Linked DNA regions of Danio rerio. Each later gene encodes a partner of the first gene's protein in a complex. Links are inferred from orthologs where the notes say so. Each region holds a gene or a part of one and is shown in the gene's direction. Other genes may lie near its edges.

Evidence for each region. The genes of interacting proteins can lie anywhere in the genome.
Region 2: fam8a1a (region 1) and ube2j1 share a complex: the UniProt entries of both Homo sapiens proteins name them as parts of the HRD1 complex. The link is inferred for Danio rerio from reciprocal best matches to the Homo sapiens genes FAM8A1 and UBE2J1.
Region 3: fam8a1a (region 1) and os9 share a complex: the UniProt entries of both Homo sapiens proteins name them as parts of the HRD1 complex. The link is inferred for Danio rerio from reciprocal best matches to the Homo sapiens genes FAM8A1 and OS9.

What each region holds. Positions count from the first base shown.
Region 1 is NC_133194.1:34,653,348-34,659,949, forward strand, and holds the start of fam8a1a (protein FAM8A1), read left to right. Parts: upstream 1-2,362; 5' UTR 2,363-2,448; coding exon 2,449-2,788; intron 2,789-3,899; coding exon 3,900-4,020; intron 4,021-4,350; coding exon 4,351-4,474; intron 4,475-4,703; coding exon 4,704-4,843; intron 4,844-5,869; coding exon of another isoform or gene 5,870-5,888; exon of another isoform or gene 5,889-5,969; intron 5,970-6,602. UniProt on the Homo sapiens protein: Plays a role in the assembly of the HRD1 complex, a complex involved in the ubiquitin-proteasome-dependent process of ER-associated degradation (ERAD).
Region 2 is NC_133195.1:1,226,431-1,232,556, reverse strand, and holds part of ube2j1 (ubiquitin-conjugating enzyme E2 J1), read left to right. Parts: intron 1-202; coding exon 203-308; intron 309-3,344; coding exon 3,345-3,468; intron 3,469-3,743; coding exon 3,744-3,872; exon of another isoform or gene 3,873-4,903; intron 4,904-5,068; exon of another isoform or gene 5,069-6,126. UniProt on the Homo sapiens protein: Catalyzes the covalent attachment of ubiquitin to other proteins. Functions in the selective degradation of misfolded membrane proteins from the endoplasmic reticulum (ERAD) and is essential for cells to recover from ER stress.
Region 3 is NC_133181.1:41,760,495-41,766,620, reverse strand, and holds part of os9 (protein OS-9), read left to right. Parts: intron 1-828; coding exon 829-892; intron 893-1,112; coding exon 1,113-1,189; intron 1,190-1,382; coding exon 1,383-1,481; intron 1,482-2,129; coding exon 2,130-2,331; intron 2,332-3,359; coding exon 3,360-3,521; intron 3,522-5,554; coding exon 5,555-5,661; intron 5,662-5,751; coding exon 5,752-5,794; intron 5,795-6,126. UniProt on the Homo sapiens protein: Lectin component of the HRD1 complex, which functions in endoplasmic reticulum (ER) quality control and ER-associated degradation (ERAD).

The sequences.
Region 1 (6,602 bases):
AGCTTCCATGCAGGTCAGCGTTTGCTAGACACAGCTTTTATTTGGCCCTGATTATTTCTGCGCAAGTCACCTCACGTCCTGTCAGAGATGATCATCCTCACATGGCCCGATTCTGTTCCGCCTGGAGGCCTCCATTCAGGGCCCAGCACAGTCACTATAGGCCGGCCAGACCTTACTCACAGGCCCAGGGCAGCCCAGTCAGCAAATACACACCCAGCAGAGAATGAGACTTTAATACATCACTGTCTCTTAACAGCTGGCCGCCATAACAAGCGTAGGGGTAAAACAAGCGTTGATTCTGGTTGATATTTAGTGAAACGTTTATTACCTTATAGCTTCACATTGATATGCTGATGTCTAAATCAGCATAGTAAATCTCAGTTTTATGTATTTGCTAAAACTGAATTTAAGTACATAGAGTTTATACAGTTCATTCCTTCTCAGTGCTTCTTGATAAAAAAAGTGTTATGTTTAGGAGTATGTGTCATTAAATTTATGTTGACATACATGTTAAAATGCAGAAAATATTGAGAATAAATCAGTTCATTTTCACTGCAAATTCTAAATCATGTAAAAGACACTGTCGCCATCTAGTGGTAATGAATTTAAACAAAGATGACTAACTTTCTTTTTTGGGGTTGGGGGGTTGTGTAGAGCTTTATTTTGTTGAAAGAATTTCAATCTACTTAAACGAGTCAACAATAAAACTGTAATCGGGATGATACAATATAGAATCTTGGTCAATAAATCAAAAATATAGAGCAGAGAAAACTACATGTGCTTAGCTCGCCATCTTTATAATGAATCCACACGTTATTAACACCCAAAAACATTCTAAAATTGTTAAATGAATGTTTTCTGGGGTTAATAACGTGTGGATTTTTTATTAAGAAGAACATTTAATTTATGTGCTCATTAATAAAACTTTTCTTCAAAACACGAAAATATAGTAGGCCTATTTGTCAACATTATATTTATGTAAATATAAAAAATCAGATAGATAGATAGATAGATAGATAGATAGATAGATAGATAGATAGATAGATAGATAGATAGATAGATAGATAGATAGAATAAAAATAAAGCAGCCTTAAGTCTCCAGCACTACCATTTTTTCTGTAAAAAAATTATTTTACCATTACGTAGGCTATTATAACACTTATTTTATTCAATGCCTTTATTCATTCATTTTCGGCTTAATTACTTTATTCGTAAGGGGTCGCCTAAGCAAAATGAACCACAAACTTATCCAGCATGCCCTTCTAGCTGAAACCCAGTACTGGGAAACACCCATACACTCTCATTCACACAAATACACACGGCCAATTTAGCTTATTTAATTCACCTGTACCGCATGTCTTTGGATTGTGGGGGATATCGGAGCACCCGGAGAAAACTCACGCAAACACTGGGAGAACATGCAAACTCCACACAGAAATGCCAACTGACCCAGAAGAGGCTCGAACGAGCGACCTTCTTGCTGTGAGGAGAACAGTGCTAACCACTAAGCCACCATTTTACCCATATTTATAAATTATTGTAAAAATCTGATAATATAAATAAATAAAGTAATAAGTCACTAGCAGGTTAATTACTTTTTTCTGTAAGTATAAATATTTTACCATTACATCCCTGCTAAAAAAACGCTTAAACTAGCCTAGGCTGGTTGACTGGTTTTAGCTGATTGACCAGTCTGGTTTTAGAGGGGTTTTGGCCATTTCCAGGCTGGTGTCCTGTCATTTTCAGCCTGGTCTTGGTCAGGCTAGAAAATAGGCTGGTTTAAGCTTTTTCAGCAGGGATATAGTATCTACTTTCAATATTTTACTAGCTACAAATAAAAAAATTATTTAAATCGTTTATAGTTATATGACTTCTGTGTTGAATAACCGATTGTTATTAACATGGTAACACTTTACAATAAAGGTTTCATTTAACATAAGTTTAACTACAGCATTAGTTAACATAAACACAGAGAATTTATTTACGGTTAATTTAACATTAAAGTGTTAGTAAACATTTACTAACCGATAGCTTACTGGAACTGAGCTAACAAACTAACAATAATCAATCCGATATGTTTAATTAACCAAAATGAATAAACACGAACAATGTAGCTCATTTCTCTGCTATGAACCTTTTTGTAAACTTTGCAGGCTGCAACATTATTGAATAACACGGGGGTGCACAAATGGCGGGCATTTTTTATTTGAATCTACGTGACCAGTTTGCACAATCGTTTTGCTACAAAAAACTAATTATGAAAATTTAGTTTCATTCGCTTGTCAAAGATATTAAAGTAAAAACACAAAACAACTCCAAGCACGTTGCACCACGGGTACAATGGTATATTCCAGCTTAAATGAGCAGTTGTCATGGCCGTTCTCTGAGAAGATTAGCCTCTTTAGTGAGTGGAAGGAAGTGAAAATAGGATTTATTTAAGAGGTGAACATGGCAAAGAAGAACAGTGCGAAAGAGGCGGACAAAAACGGCGAAGGAGCCAATGACGATGATAAGATGACAACGAACGAGTACTGCGCGCGGCTGCAGCAGTGGATGTGGCGCTACTACAGCGGATATGTGAGCTGGCAGAGCTGGGTGTTGATGTCCGCGCCGCTCTTTCCTCCGCCTCAGTTCGGTTGCCAGGCACCGGGCAGCTCTGCATCCGTGTATCCCACAACGCCGGCGGACATCGCCGCCTGGTACAACCAAATGAGCAGCCCGGGAGCCATCCGTCCAGCAGACACCGCCACATCCAGCACTGGGGACAGAGGGGCAGCACAGCCCGCAGGTAGAGTAACTGTCAGTAACGCAGTCATCTGAGAAGAAAGACTAGTTAGCTTTAAACAAAAATCCTTAAAACACACGTTAATAAAGAACCTAATAAAATTCATTTACATTTTGTGTAAATTGTAGATTTTCCTTCACAGTCTCTATAGTTGTATTCACTTTGGTATTATGTATTTCCTAATTTAAAGGGATAGTTTACCCCAAAATTATAATGCACTCTGTCTTGTCAATGACTACTGACACCTTGAGTGTCAAAAAAACATGCAGAGGCAAAGTAAAACTAATACACGTGGCTCATGATGAAGATACATTGACAACATTTGAAGTGAAATGATATGCAGGAAACTGAACACACTTTATTTGTATATTACAATGCTGTGTTTTTATAACCATTATTCATTTGGTTTTGTAAATGTAAATTAATAGTAAATGTAATTTTTTGTGGTTCGCTCTGAAGATCACAAGTGATTCTATGCCACTTTCCCGCTCAGAATATGGAGCTATTTGTGTCAGTATTATAGTTCTTTAGTAGTGCTATCCAAGATCTGTGAAGAGATGATGATGCACTTCATTGAACATGTACAACAATGACATCACCTACATACTGTGTAACTGCAACTCAACTATGCTTATATATAATAACTTGAACTGTTAAAAGCTATTGCTTACTAGTTAATTAAAGTATTTACTAGCAATTAATACAGTTATGGTAACTAATAACTCAACTTTTCTGATTTTGATTATATTACAATAATTTGCATCTTTTGAAAAGCTGATTTGAAACAATAACTACTGTGAAAAGCGCTATATAAGTAACTTTAATTAAATTCAGTAGTACCTAGTATATTTAAACATTTTAAACAACAATAAAAAAGTCTAAAATGGGCATTTCCCGGCCAGTGTGTTCAATGTGAAATAATTTGATTCAAGAAACTAAAAAGCTTAAAGACTAAAAAGAACAACATTAATTTACATGACACGTACTACTATATGTTTTAATGCAAGAATCAAGTCAAATAAACTAACTTAAGAATGCACAGTTTTTGTGACAGTGAAAATATTAAACGTGCATCCATAGGTAGTCTTTCATAACATGATCTTTTTCCTTTCAGGTAGAGAATACATTATACCCTCTCCTCTACGCAGATTTCTGGCTGAAACTGTCGATTTCTTCATTCTCTTCTGTGTGAAAGCAACCATAGTGTTGTGGATCATGCATCTCTGTGGAATGAAGTGAGTTGAGAATATATATTTAAAAGAAAATACTTTTATTAAGACAGGATTTCAATTAAAATAAAATGCCCAAAAGACCACAGAAAAATCAGTAAGTGCTTTTATTTTTAAGCAACATCTGTTTTTAACATTGATAATGATTAGAAATGTTTATTGAGCACAGGAAAATATATTAAATAATAAACAGTTCTATTAGATTGTAATTATTTATGCATTATTAGGCCTACACCTTTAACATTATTTTGAGCAAATGACACATGGCATTTTAAATATATTGCATAGAGTATTGTATAATGACAGTTCAAATGTCTTCTTTGATCTTCTGAACAGAGATATTTCCAAATTCATAATGCAGTTTATAGTGGAAGAGATTGATGAGAACACGTCATTGGAGGACCTGCAGAAGATGATGGTCGTGGCTTTAGCATACAGAGTACTGGTGTGTGTTTATGAAGTAAGTGAGTCTCCTTGAGATTCTAGCATGTTTTTTTTTTCATCTTGGAAAAACAAAATTACAAACCTTGTATATATTCACAGTACATTTTTGATCAGCATTTTCATCCTTGTACTCTTGTTGCTTAATAACAGTATTTGGAGGGAAAACTCTGTGGTCTAAAGTGATTTGAATAAATTGTAGACATCTTGCCTGCACTCATACAGTCTGTTTTTGTCTTTTTCTGCAGATCATCTGTATTTGGGGAGCTGGAGGTGCCACTCCAGGAAAGTTTCTTTTGGGTCTTCGAGTCGTCTCATGTGACACGACAGTCCTGGTGCAACCGAATCGGGTTTTGGTGGTACCAGCATCCACTGTCAGCTTATCTGCGTGAGTTATGCATATATATATATATATATATATATCATCTTTTGTAAAACGGTTTGGACAGAACTGTGTGTAGGTATAGTTTGTCCACGGTCATATTAAAGTCATAGAAACACAAGAAGCCTCTTTTTTTTAAATTTCCTGATGTTAAAATAGGACCCAAATCCCAGTGATTTTGAGCCCCACTGCAACTTGACGTAAGAATGCGGTTTTCCCCGCCCACTGAATTGATTGACAGGTGCCATGTTTCTATAATAACATATATACACGTCAACAGAACATTTTTTTAAATCACTTCCAACTCTCTGTGATTTCTTTCACAGTTTTATAAGTTTAAAACGTTTGTAAAACAGAGCATGTTTCTAATAAAGAAAGTTAAATCGCTATCTAATTCTTAACTGCTATAACAACCACTTTGCTGACACCACGCATGGTGTCAGCAAATACAAATATATATGTGTGTGTACTGCAATTGGCATTTGTGTGTGACTCATCATTTTCGAAAGGCTTGAATAAACTCCAACACACATACATGAAAAAAGCTTAGTTGATATTTTTGACTGAGCTGTATTTGAGCTTTATCCATGTCTGTCTTTATTACTGACTGCTGTTTATCTGATGTAACGTGAAGCCGACATGCATGTGGGAGCGTTGGGCTGGGAGAAGCAGCTTATTTTTATTTAAAGCCACAGGCTACAAAAACAGCTACACTGTACTCAGACACCAAAATGGACAAATTCTGGAGGCTATATTAAATAATCTGATGGGTATTTTGACCTGAAACTTTACAGACACATTCTGGAGACACCAAAGGCGTATCTTACATTGTGTAAAAGGGGTAAAATAGGTCCTCTTCAATATTTAGTTTATACAGAGATTTGTGTAGGTCTGTTAGATAACCTGTTGACCTGTAGCCCTCACTGTAGCATTATTTGCCAATGGATACTGATCAAGACTTGGGCCAAACACCCATAGATGCAAACCTATTATAATCTCATTTTCTAACACAGAGGTTTCCAAACTTTTCAGCCTGCGACCCCTAATATGACGATGCCAGTGACTCGCGACCCCCAATATCCTGGTTATGAATACAGAAACCTTGCATGCAATGTCACACACACACCAAAACACCCAGGTATATTCTTTGTTTAATGTCAGTGCTGTAAATGGGCCAGAAACTTTAACCTGGTGTTATAAAATCAATCTGCTGCATCTGACGCTATTGCTGTGTCTTTAATATAATGTAATTACCACTGGGGTCGCAATCCAATAGAGATAGTAACTATAAGCTACTATAACTATTTAGTAATTATAAACGACTATATTTTTCTCTTCAGTAGGTTATGGATAAAATATGGTCATTCTTATATGATTTAATAATAATAAATAGATTTTTTTAAATCACCAGGCGACCCTCCTTCATTGTCCCGCGACTCCTCGAGGGGTCCCGACCCCCACTTTGAGAACCCCTGTTCTAACACACTCTTCTTTTGTCGACAAAAGTCTTTAGTCGGTCCCATAAGCTTGACTAACAGTAAATTTATTCATTTGCATGCAATAAAAAACTTAAAACAAATGATAATGTCTGAAGAACAAATAATGTTGAAACTTGAAATCCATCTTGATTTCTTCCATCAAAACAATTACATAGAAAAGAGGGGAGTCCAAACTCGGTCCTGGAGGACCGCTGTCCTGCAGATTTTAGCTCCAACTTGCCTCAACACACCTGCAGGGATGTTTCTAGAAAGCCTAATAAGAGCTT
Region 2 (6,126 bases), on another chromosome or scaffold:
CTTCCAAAAGATCATTTGCAAAGACGCATTATATGTGCGCTTACAGTGTCTGGTGCATATGGAGAGAAGAGTGTTTCTACTGGTGGTTTGGCAAGCCCACTCACCTGTGTGAGGCACACTTAGAAATGCTCAATGTTTTTTTTTCTTTCAGTTTGTATCAGTGATCACTCTTTCAATTAAAGCTGAATGTTTTGTTTGTCAGTCCGGACTGCTTTAATAGCGATTATAGGATTCATGCCGACTAAAGGAGAAGGAGCGATCGGATCTCTGGACTACACTCCTGAGGAGAGAAAAGCTCTCGCCAAAAAGTAAGATCTTCTACCCCTTTATTTATATTCTTTTTCCTTCCATTATTCAGCAGGAATAAAGACTAAACACCATGGCAACAAAAATTTTACTTAATTGTACAAATTAGATCAAACGAATTCATACGAATTAGCCACTAAATCAAAAAGTTACGAATTGCCGTGAGATTGCGTTGGGTTTTTTTTTCACTCGTTTTTTTTTTTTCTCTCACCCATTTTTTTTCTCCACCATTCCGTCCTTTCCGGGTCTCAGTAGCATTGCTTTATTTACCAAATTAAAAAAAAGTAATAAATAAACAATTTAGCAGGCATGAAAAGAAAATAGACGGAATAATTAAAATACATATAGAAACTATACATGTATTAAAGCTTAAGCAAAGGAAATATTAGCACAAAATAAACCAATTAAATGATTAATAAACAAATAGATTGAGATATTTTTCATTTTTGTTAATTTTTTTATTTTACTTTTGAGCCTAGAAACCTGTAATCTACACTTTTAAATCATTTATTTGTTTCACAATCTCAGGACACTGTTGACCCCGTACATTCGGCTATTAAAAATGGCAAGTGGCTAGTAACGTTGGAAATCCACTAGCCACAGTGGCTGGTGATCAAAAAAAAGTTAATGTCAAGCCCTGCATATACATATTTATATATAGAGAGAGAAATATATATATATATATTAAGCGCAAGAAATACATAAGTAAATTCATTCATTCATTCAATTTCCTTTGGCTTAGTCCCTTTATAATTCAGGGGTCGCCACAGCAGAATGAACTGCCAACTTATCCAGCATATGTTTTACACAGCGGATGCCCTTCAAGCTGCAACCCAGTACTGGAAAACACCCATACACACTCATTCACACACAGACATTTTAGCTCACCCAATTCCCCTATAGCGCATGTGTTTGAACTGTGGTAGAAACCGGAGCACCTGGATGAAATCCACGCCAACACGGGGAGAACATGCAAACTCCACACACAGCTCGAATTAGCTGGGACTCGAACCAGCAACCTTCTTGCTGTGATGCGACAGTGCTAACCACCTAGCCACTGTCTCTCACCATACAATACTAGTATCCTGTAAAATGTTATGTACTCTCATTGGGGCAAAGACTAAAGCAGAGTTATTAAAGCTGTTGGTTTTGAAGCGTCTGCTGTTCAATCCTCTCCTCGTTGAACAGCACTGGGGAAATTGAATATTCACAGGAAGAGTCTTCAGCTTCATGATAAAGGCTCCTCATCTGCCCTGGAGACTGAGAGGTGCTGCTGGGACGTGTGTGGACATGCTGAGTCCTTCAGAAGAAACACGCGTGTGACTGCTGCCATCAGCGGCTCATTTCCAATCAACACGTGCTGATTAAACAGCCACCTCCAACACACGCACGCACACACACACACACACACACACACACACACACACACACACACACACACACACACACACACACACACACACACACACACACACACACACGCACATACCAGGACATGAAAACTAGAGGAGCAGGTCTGTGGGATCAACTCTAGAATCATCAGCCTGCTGTTCTGCTTGTGGATTTGTTATTTAACATGTTTTTGGGCTTTTCTATTCCCTCATTGTGCACTTATTTACGGCACATAAAGCTGCGGTTAGGGCTACACGGTGGCGCAGTGGACAGCACTGTTAATTTCCTACTGTAAATACATCCAAATTATTTAAAAATTAAAAATTAATTACTATCTATCTATCTATCTATCTATCTATCTATCTATCTATCTATCTATCTATCTCTATTTATCTGTCTGTCTGTTTGTCCGTCATCCTTCTGTCTATCCATCTATCTATCTTTCTGTCTGTCCGTCTGTCTGTCCATCTATCCATTCATCCATCCATCTGTCCATTCGTTCGTCCATCCATCCATCCATCCGTCTATCTAGCTATCCATCTATCCATCCATCCATCTGTCTGTCTATTTATCTGTCAATCTGTCTGTCCATCCGTCCATCTGTCCATCTGTCTATCTTTCTGTCAATCTATCTGTCAGTCTGTCTGTCCATCCATCTGTCAATCTGTCTGTCCATCCATCCATTCATCTGTCAATCTGTCTGTCCATTCATCCATCCATCCGTCTATCTATCTGTCAATCTGTCTGTCCATCAGTCTCCATCCATCCCTCCATCCGTCCACTAATCTGTCTATCTGTCAATCTATCTGTCAATCTGTTTGTCAGTCTGTCTGTCCATCCATCCATCTGTCAATCTGTCTGTCCCTCCATCCATCCATCCATCTGTCCGTCCCTCTGTCTGTCTATCTATCTGTCAATCTGTCTGTCCGTCCATCCATCCGTCCGTCCATTTGTAAATCTGTCTGTCCATCCGTCTATCCATCCATCCGTCCATCTGTCTATCTATCTATCTGTCAGTCTGTCTGTCCATCCATTCATTCGTCTATCTATCTGTCAATCTGTCTGTCCATCCATCTATCCTTCCATCCATCCATTTGTCCTTTTGTCCATCTGTCCATCTGTCTATCTATCAATCTGTCTGTCCATCCATCCATTCATCTGTCAATCTGTCTGTCCATTCATCCATCAATCCATCCATCCATCCGTCTATCTATCTGTCAATCTGCCTGTCCATCAGTCTCCATCCATCCGTCCGTCCGTCCATTAATCTGTCTATCTATCTGTCAATCTATCTGTTTGTAAATCTGTCTGTCCATCCATCCATCCGTCCGTCCCTCCGTCTGTCTATCTATCTGTCAATCTGTCTGTCCATCCATCCATCCGTCCGTCCATTTGTCAATCTGTCTGTCCATCCATCCGTCCATCCGTCCGTCCCTCCGTCTGTCTATCTGTCTGTCCATCCATCCATCCGTCCGTCCATTTGTCAATCTGTCTGTCCATCCATCTATCCATTCCATCCGTCCGTCCGTCTGTCCATCTATCTGTCAATCTGGCTATCCATCTATCCATCCATCTATCCGTGTATCCATCCGTCCGTCCATGTGGGTTTAATTGGCTGTGTGTATGTGTGTGTGTGTGTTGGGCAGGTCTCAGGATTTCTGCTGTGAGGCGTGCAGCAGCTGTATGCGCTCGGCTCTGCTTCCTCTCTCTCCTGACAGTGACCTTCGACCCGCTGACCCTCAGAGACTGGCACAGCAGATCAACTTCAAGGTGCGGTCACACCAACAGAACACACACATTTCACAAACTCACAACTCAGAGAGACGCTGGAGATTTGCAAGAGAACATTTTCATTTAAATGTTGTTTTTTCCACTATTTGAAAAGCTTGCCACCAGCCATTACAAGATGTTTATGGTATAAAATATATACCAAATCTATATTTGGTCGGGGTGACCTACTTATTTAGGCCAGTATACGCATTTTATTGGTAATTCACATGTGTGTAGCAGTGTTTCTGATTGGTGAAGCATGTGTTTGTTCACAGGCTGAATCCAGCTCCTCCGCTGCAGACAGTAGCAGCTCCTCATCAGCAGCAGCCGAAGTGTTTTCCAACACCAGCGAGAGCTCTGAGACTGCAGACCAAGACACAGAGGACACGTCTGCAGCTGAGCAGGTACAGCAGAACCACAAACACTTCTCATTCTGATCTTACACCTCATTACTTCCACAGGCCTCACATGCTGTAGTCATGAACAGACTATCACACTGAATCTTCACCTGCTGAAATTCACAGGTTGACTTTATTAGTTACATGGTTGGTTGTAAAATTCCAAGGTATGTTATTCCCAGATAACAACCACTGAATAACACCCCGTCAGTGAATACGTTCACATCCATACACTTACATTCACATTCATGTGTGTCTGATTGTCTGTCACGCTGTGGTTTTTAACTGTTTGGGACTGTTTGGTGAATAAATAATGTAAGTTAGCGTATGTAAGTGTTAGTATGAGGTGACATTGTAAAAAAACGTTGATGTTTTTAGGCAGAAGTGACAAACTGCAAGCTTTGGATGATCTTCTAAATGCAAATTTGGACACGGTTTCAGAGCACACTAGCTTATAGATATTAACAGACTGATACTAATGTCTAAAAATAGTTAGTTTCATTTTCTTTGAATAAACAAATTGAAGTCCAGATGAAACTGATTTATAAAATTTGCCTAGAAATCTTCTTAAAAGCGAGTGTACAGCATAATAAATGTCACTTTATTTGTTAATGATTATGGCCCATGTGATGATTTAAAGTGGCGCAGATTTTTTTTAAATGCACATCTCCGCCCCTGTTTTTTGCGTACATCATATTTATAATTGAGACCCCATGTGTAAACAGCCCCTAACATTCTAGATGCGATCCTGTATAGTTTATGCTCCATTCAGCCAGTTTAGTGTCTGTCAGCTTTGTGTTTTTGACTGTTTGTCTCCATCTTGTGTCTGAATAATGTGCAGGTTAGTGTATACTCCATCAGCTGTTTTAGTGTCTGTTGTGTTTTTGACTGTTTGTCTCCATCTAGTGTCTGAATAATGCGCAGGTTAGTGTATACTCCATCAGCTGTTTTAGTTTCTGTTGTGTTTTTGTCTGTTTGTCTCCATCTAGTGTCTGAATAATGCGCAGGTTAGTGTATACTCCATCAGCTGTTTTAGTGTCTGTTGTGTTTTTGACCGTTTGTCTCCATCTAGTGTCTGAATAATGCGCAGGTTAGTGTATACTCCATCAGCTGTTTTAGTGTCTGTTGTGTTTTTGACCGTTTGTCTCCATCTAGTGTCTGAATAATGCACAGGTTAGTGTATACTCCATCAGCTGTTTTAGTGTCTGTTGTGTTTTTGACTGTTTGTCTCCATCTTGTGTCTGAATAATGCGCAGGTTAGTGTATACTCCATCAGCTGTTTTAGTTTCTGTTGTGTTTTTGACTGTTTGTCTCCATCTTGTGTCTGAATAATGCACAGGTTAGTGTATACTCCATCAGCTGTTTTAGTGTCTGTTGTGTTTTTGACTGTTTGTCTCCATCTTGTGTCTGAATAATGCGCAGGTTAGTGTATACTCCATCAGCTGTTTTAGTTTCTGTTGTGTTTTTGTCTGTTTGTCTCCATCTTGTGTCTGAATAATGTGCAAGTTAGTGTATACTCCATTAGCTGTTTTAGTTTCTGTTGTGTTTTTGACTGTTTGTCTCCATCTAGTGTCTGAATAATGCGCAGGTTAGTGTATACTCCATCAGCTGTTTTAGTGTCTGTTGTGTTTTTGACCGTTTGTCTCCATCTAGTGTCTGAATAATGCGCAGGTTAGTGTATACTCCATCAGCTGTTTTAGTGTCTGTTGTGTTTTTGACTGTTTGTCTCCATCTAGTGTCTGAATAATGTGCAGGTTAGTGTATATTCCATCAGCTGTTTTAGTTTCTGTTGTGTTTTTGACTGTTTGTCTCCATCTAGTGTCTGGATAATGCACAGGTTAGTGTATACTCCATCAGCTGTTTTAGTTTCTGTTGTGTTTTTGACTATTTGTCTCCATCTAGTGGCTGAATAATGCGCAGGTTAGTGTATACTCCATCAGCTGTTTTAGTTTCTGTTGTGTTTTTGACTGTTTGTCTCCATCTAGTGGCTGAATAATGCGCAGGTTAGTGTATACTCCATCAGCTGTTTTAGTTTCTGTTGTGTTTTTGACTGTTTGTCTCCATCTAGTGGCTGAATAATGCGCAGGTTAGTGTATACTCCATCAGCTGTTTAGTGTCTGTCAGCTCTTTGTTTTTGACTGTTTGGTGCCTTCTTTTATTGTCTGCATGGAGGTTCTGGACAGAAATTCATATTTGACACTGACATACAACATATATTTACATTCTATAAAGCCCATAAAACACTTTAACCCAACTCATC
Region 3 (6,126 bases), on another chromosome or scaffold:
TAACTATTGTATAATCATGAGATATAGTTTTATAAAACTTCTGAAAAAAATTAACATATTGACAGCCAAAGCTCAAGAATTCAAAGCAGAAGCTGACAAAAACTGAAGTGCGTGTTTAAAGTAAACTCCATTAACTAGAATAAATTATATTTTAATTTACAGTTGAGTCAGTCTTAAAGCATCTTCCATTCAGACTTGAGAATTGTCCACTTCAGTTAAAAATAAATGGTTCAGTGCGATTTGCAAATTGAATATAAATAAATATAACACATTTTTTAACAAATATAAGGGTGTAAAAAGTCAAATATTATGCTTTGCAGTTAAGCAAAAGATTCCCATAATAAAATACCCCAATAAAGTGCAGGTACTTAAAGAGTCTCAAAAATAAAAATTTACTCACCCTCGTGTGGTTTCAAACAAAATAAAAACATTGTTAAGAAAGTTTGCAACCAGCAACATCTGACTTTCATGGTAAGAAAACCAAATACTATGGAAATGAATGGTTCCAGCTTTTTTCTAAATATCTTATTTTGTGTTTATCAGAAGAAAGTCAAACATGATTGGAACAAGTGAAGAGTGGGTAATTGATGACAGAATTTTCTGTTTTGTGTAAAAGTTTGTAGTAATAAAGTAAAAACTGTTCTCTCTGATCATATTCTCTCAATCAAAAATGTTGTTTTGAAAAAAAAGCACATTTGGAGTGGCTATGTAGAGTATGTGTAAATTAAGACGTAATAAATGATGTACATTTATAGTCATTTTAGGTCATGTTAAAATGATAAACTACATGTCGCTGTGATCTGAAGCTTGTTCATGTTTTGTTTGCAGACCAAAGACTGGTGGACCTATGAGTTCTGCTACGGCCAGCACATCAGACAATACCACTTAGAAGGCAGGTTAAATCTTTTATCTAATGTGTCTTGGATAAATTGAGTTTTACATGGTCTAAAAAATATATATGCACTGCCTGTATAAACATGTTTTTTATTAGTAGATGGAAAGGAATTTAGAGAATTTAGGACAGAAGCCTTTCAGGAAAATGCACTGCCTATAAATATATACTATTAAATATTTCAAGATGTTTGAAATGTGTTCCCTATATGTGATCGCAGATTCGGAGATCAAGGGAGATGTACTGTTTTTGGGATATTATGATACAGAGTTTGACTGGACGAATGAAACTGCAAAGGTAAGGTCAGGTTTGTTAATCTTGATTTGCTTGTCCTAATAAAATGTCTGTAAATGTTGTCAATTCAAATTAGGAATTCTGATACTAGCAGTAAATATTTTTTATTAACCACTTTTATGTTAACAAGTCTGTAGTTATCTTCTATATATTTTGTAGTTACAAAATTAAAATCTTGTTGATCTTTTTTTTTCAGGCATCTAAGCAGCATAAGCTGAAGAGGTATCACAGTCAGTCATATGTCAATGGCTCAAAATGTGACTTAAACGGCAGTCCCAGAGAGACGGAAGTCAGAGTAAGATACTAAGTGCCATATTCCAGACTATAGAGAAAAATAATGAAGAAAGAGTATTATTGAAGTCAGTCTAATGGCTAACAATAAACAATAAGGACACTAGTTAACTGTTGTGACTAGTCTTCTTAATTCTGCTGCTGTATGCACACACACTGTAGAATACCTTCACTATACAGATGTTGAGCTCATTAGACCTCAAGTAATGCATATATATATATATATATATATATATATATATATATATATATATATATATATATATATATATATATATATATATATATATATACATATATATACATACATATATACATACATACATACATACATACATACATACACACACACAATTTAAGGTTAGATAGATCCTTAAATGGATCAATCCTAGGTAGATCAAATTGAGGCTAGATAGATCTGTCCTTTACAACAAGCACATGCAATAATCTCAGATCTGATTCACAAACTTGTTTGAAGAACCAAATCAGCCAGAGACCAGTTATCATGATTAAAAGATCCAGGATCTGTCAGATTATCTTTGTTTAAGCGAGGTACAAAGAACGGACCCCAGTAGTTTACATCAGCAACATAGAATTGTATTTTAATCTAATGGCAATGATAATCTATATATGTATATTGTGTTTTTAACAGTTTGTGTGTGAGGAAGGCTCTACTGACTTCATTTCACGGGTGGATGAACCCCAGTCTTGCCGCTACGTCTTGACAGTCCACACCTCTCGCACGTGCCAGCATCCCCTTCTGCGCCCACCGTCCACTGCCAAACCACAAGGCATTGTGTGCCAACCTGCTCTCAGTGCCCAGCAGTACATGGACTACGTCAAGGCTCAAGTCTGTAAGTATGAGAGGTGATGATTTTTTTTACTTTACATCAAGGCACTGTAATTTAGGGATCGATTGGTGAAAATATCCAATGTTACAAATGATTTTGCTGTGATTCTGTTAACATGACATTAATTAGCTACACTTAATTTGCTGTTTATATGGTTGTCAAGAGTCTCCAAAGAATCCTTCACTTTACTGCATGACTGTGAGATGTTGAGGAGGATATATTTTGTGTTTAAAAGATGAGTTAATGCATTTAAAAATCAGTTAATAAATTTAAAAATTGTATTATTTTTTTATTATATCAATAATATATCAATTAAAATAATTAATCATGTTTTTGTATTTGTATACTGTTTAATTACTTTTTAACAGGTAAAATCAAACTGATCGAAATTAAAGATATTATTTATATATTTTATATTTTTGTTGTATGGTTTTTCTTCCGCCTTGATTGTGTTTATTAATTGTCTCTGTATTTTTTGTAATTTTGATTTTATTTATTTTAATTTATACAAAACAAAAAGTAAAATATATCTTAGGAAATTTACCAGAAAAAAAATGTATTATATTGTTTGAGTTGATGTTATTTCATCAAGTAACAGCATTAATTTTGTGCTAGTGGTTTTAACTAGCTATAACCCTGCTCACCCAGGAGAGATGACCTATATGCTGTCAAATGTTAATTACACTACTATTACAATAACAGGATATGGATTGCTATGGCAGCGCATTAAGCCCAGTCTATTGTGACTCCGTTCATTATTCAACAGTTGTTGCTTTCACCTTTTACACATACAGTGCTGTATACTTACTTGCATAGAAACCTTCAGAATCATAATCAGATATTTTTATTCACAATTTCTTTCCTTATCACTCATTACACTATTCATAAAAATGCCCTCGCTGCCAAGTTCTGTCCTATTAGATTAGATCTCCGGAGATGCAATCAGCCTACATTTAATTGTACTCTGTTCTCCAATTGATTCATTATTTTTAGCACCTAGACATCTGTCGTTGCCTCTCTCTCTGTCTCAGCTGACACCAAACGTAAAGTGGAGCAGATCTCAGAGGAGCTCAGAAACCTGGATGAAATTCTGTCCAAGGATGACAAGAACAAAGGTGTGCTGGATGACAGAACAGATGAGGAACCTGCAGTTAGCTCTGATGAGCCTCCAGTTTCCAAGGCCCAAAAAAAAGGTCAGCATTCAGACTGTGATTTGATTTCTTTATACTTGTATGACTGGGTTAGTTTTAAGGCCATCTACAACACCCTCAAAATCAGTCTTGAGTTTTTCAACCTCAATCCTGCAGTTATAGTTCAATGCACTGGGTGGTGCTGTGTAAAGGAAATATAAAACTGAGTTGGTGAGAAGTGATATATACAGGGGCGCTGCTGTTCAGTACAGGCCCTATGACAACTTTGTAGAATTGTACAACTTTGTACATGGTTACTAATAGTAACTCTAGGGCCCCCAAAACGGCGTGGGTCCTTGGAATGGTCCTAACTTTTCCCCCTAGCAGCGCCCGTGGTTATATGTTTTGTTTTCATGACCAGTTTTTAAGGAGACGCTGCTAATAAATAGTGTAAAAAATATTGGCATCACCACACTTTTTTTAGTTATTTGATTGTTTATATATGATTAAACAAGCAAATAAGGCATAATTTAAACAAATATGCACTGTTTTGCATAGATTTCTAACACAAAAATTAGAACATTGAAGGAAATCAGCTTCAGAATTCTTCTTCTTCTTCTTCTCTCTCTATTTTATTTTTACATTAGATTAATAGATTTTTACCAAGGGGATTTTGGATATGTCTTTCCATCAGATATTGTTTTGAACAGACAGACACATTAGAGTAATATATCTTTTTGTCAAGTGAGATTTGGGTATGTTTTTGTCATTAGATATTGCTGCAAACAGACAGAAAAAAATCGCATTGTTTTTTTTAGATTAGAGCACAGGGAGTCAATGGGCAAAAACAAAATTTTAGGCCTTTTTACTGTCCAATTTTAACTCCCTAATCAGGGAAAGAAAACTAAAGCAGCACATTCATTTACATGATCTTTTATTAATAGAAAATCTATTTACAAAAGTAACTGGGCCATTAGAAAAAATCCTTATAGTGTTTAGCCCTGTAGAAGTATAAAACTTCAATCTCAATGGTCTTAAAGTCTTACATTTGTCTTGGAAGTCTGCAAAAACCCTGACAATAGATTTTTACCAATTTTACAGATTTTTATGATTTTCTTCATCAAATATTACTGTGAACAGACAGAAAATGTCTTAAAATTCAAAAACAACGTTTTAGGCTTTATGAAGTCTTAAATTCACTAAAATATTGTGCTGTTGGTCTTAAATCATTTTAAAACAGTTAAATCTCCCCAATCAGTTCAATTACCATTACTCCATCTTAAAACATTTTTATTGCAAAGAGATGCAATTCACAATGACAGTTAGACGTTTTTACAGCAAATTCGCCTAATTAAATTACTTAATCAGGGGGAAAAACGAAAGCAACACATCCATTTACATGACCTTTTGTTAATGGAAAAACTATTTACAGAAGTAACTGGGCCATTAGAAAAAAAGTATAAAATTTCAGTCTTAATGGTCATAAAGTTTTAGCCTGCAGAGACCCAGAGAGCAATAGAATTTTACCAAGGGGATTTTAGTCCGTCTTGTCATCAGAAATTACTGTGAACAGACAGTAAAAATATTCCTCTGTGAAAAGCCTTAAAAATACATATTATAGTTAAAATCTTTATACAATGCGGCAAAAGAAGCACTTTGAAGTCTATTTTGCATGTTTTCTTTTCATTAGACTGGAAAAAAAAAACACTTTCTGAACAACCAAAATTGCTAAATTGGGGTGCATGTTAACATGTTTTTCCTGTTTCTCGACAAAGTCTAAGAATATTAAAATATGATTGACGCATGTGGCTGCAAAACCTCTTTGGGTCACCAATGTATATGTTTATCATATTAGTTTTTGACCTACTAACTACAAAATGAATTAAAATGGCAATCTCTGACATTGTATTACAGTATTTATTTTCACATCTTTTTATAAAACATTCAGGTGTGTCGTCTTGTGCATGTATAGTTTGTAGCTTTTTTGTTTATTATTTCAGTCTTGCTTTTACATTCTTGTTCTCTTCTTTAAGCTGTCTCTTTAGCAGCTTCCATGCAGCCTTCAAACAAATATCTGTGTATGTGTGATATAACAGAGGGTGAAGTTGCTGAGAAGTCGACGAGTGAAGAGCCAGAGGACAAAGACTTCTGGGAAGGAGTTACCAAACCAGCACACACAAAGCCAAGCACACCTGACACAGAGGTACAAACTGTCTGGAAATGAACATAATGTGAACCAGACATCTTCATAGTGAGATTTGGTCATTTACTTCATTTTACAACTCTCTTACAGACCCCTCAGGAGCCACAGGACAACCAATTACATGAAAATGATTGTAAGACAATTATTTTAATTAAACATAAAGTAACTATGTTGCATAAGAAGTTTTTTTTTCTTGAATCAAAAATGTAGCATCAGTTTTATTTAGTTTATTAATGAGTACCATACACAACCAGAATTACAGTATCTATGAAGCTAAAATTGGTCTTGATTTAAGGGTGATAAATTTATAGATGTTATGTAACAAGTAAAGCTGTGCTGTACAATCAAAACTTTATTTTTAACAATTTGTAAAATTTCTGCCATGAAACTATGCGCAAGCAGGCTGATTGGTTACCTAATCTGCCCCTGCGTCATGAGTTGAAATGCTCTGCGTCATTTTACGCT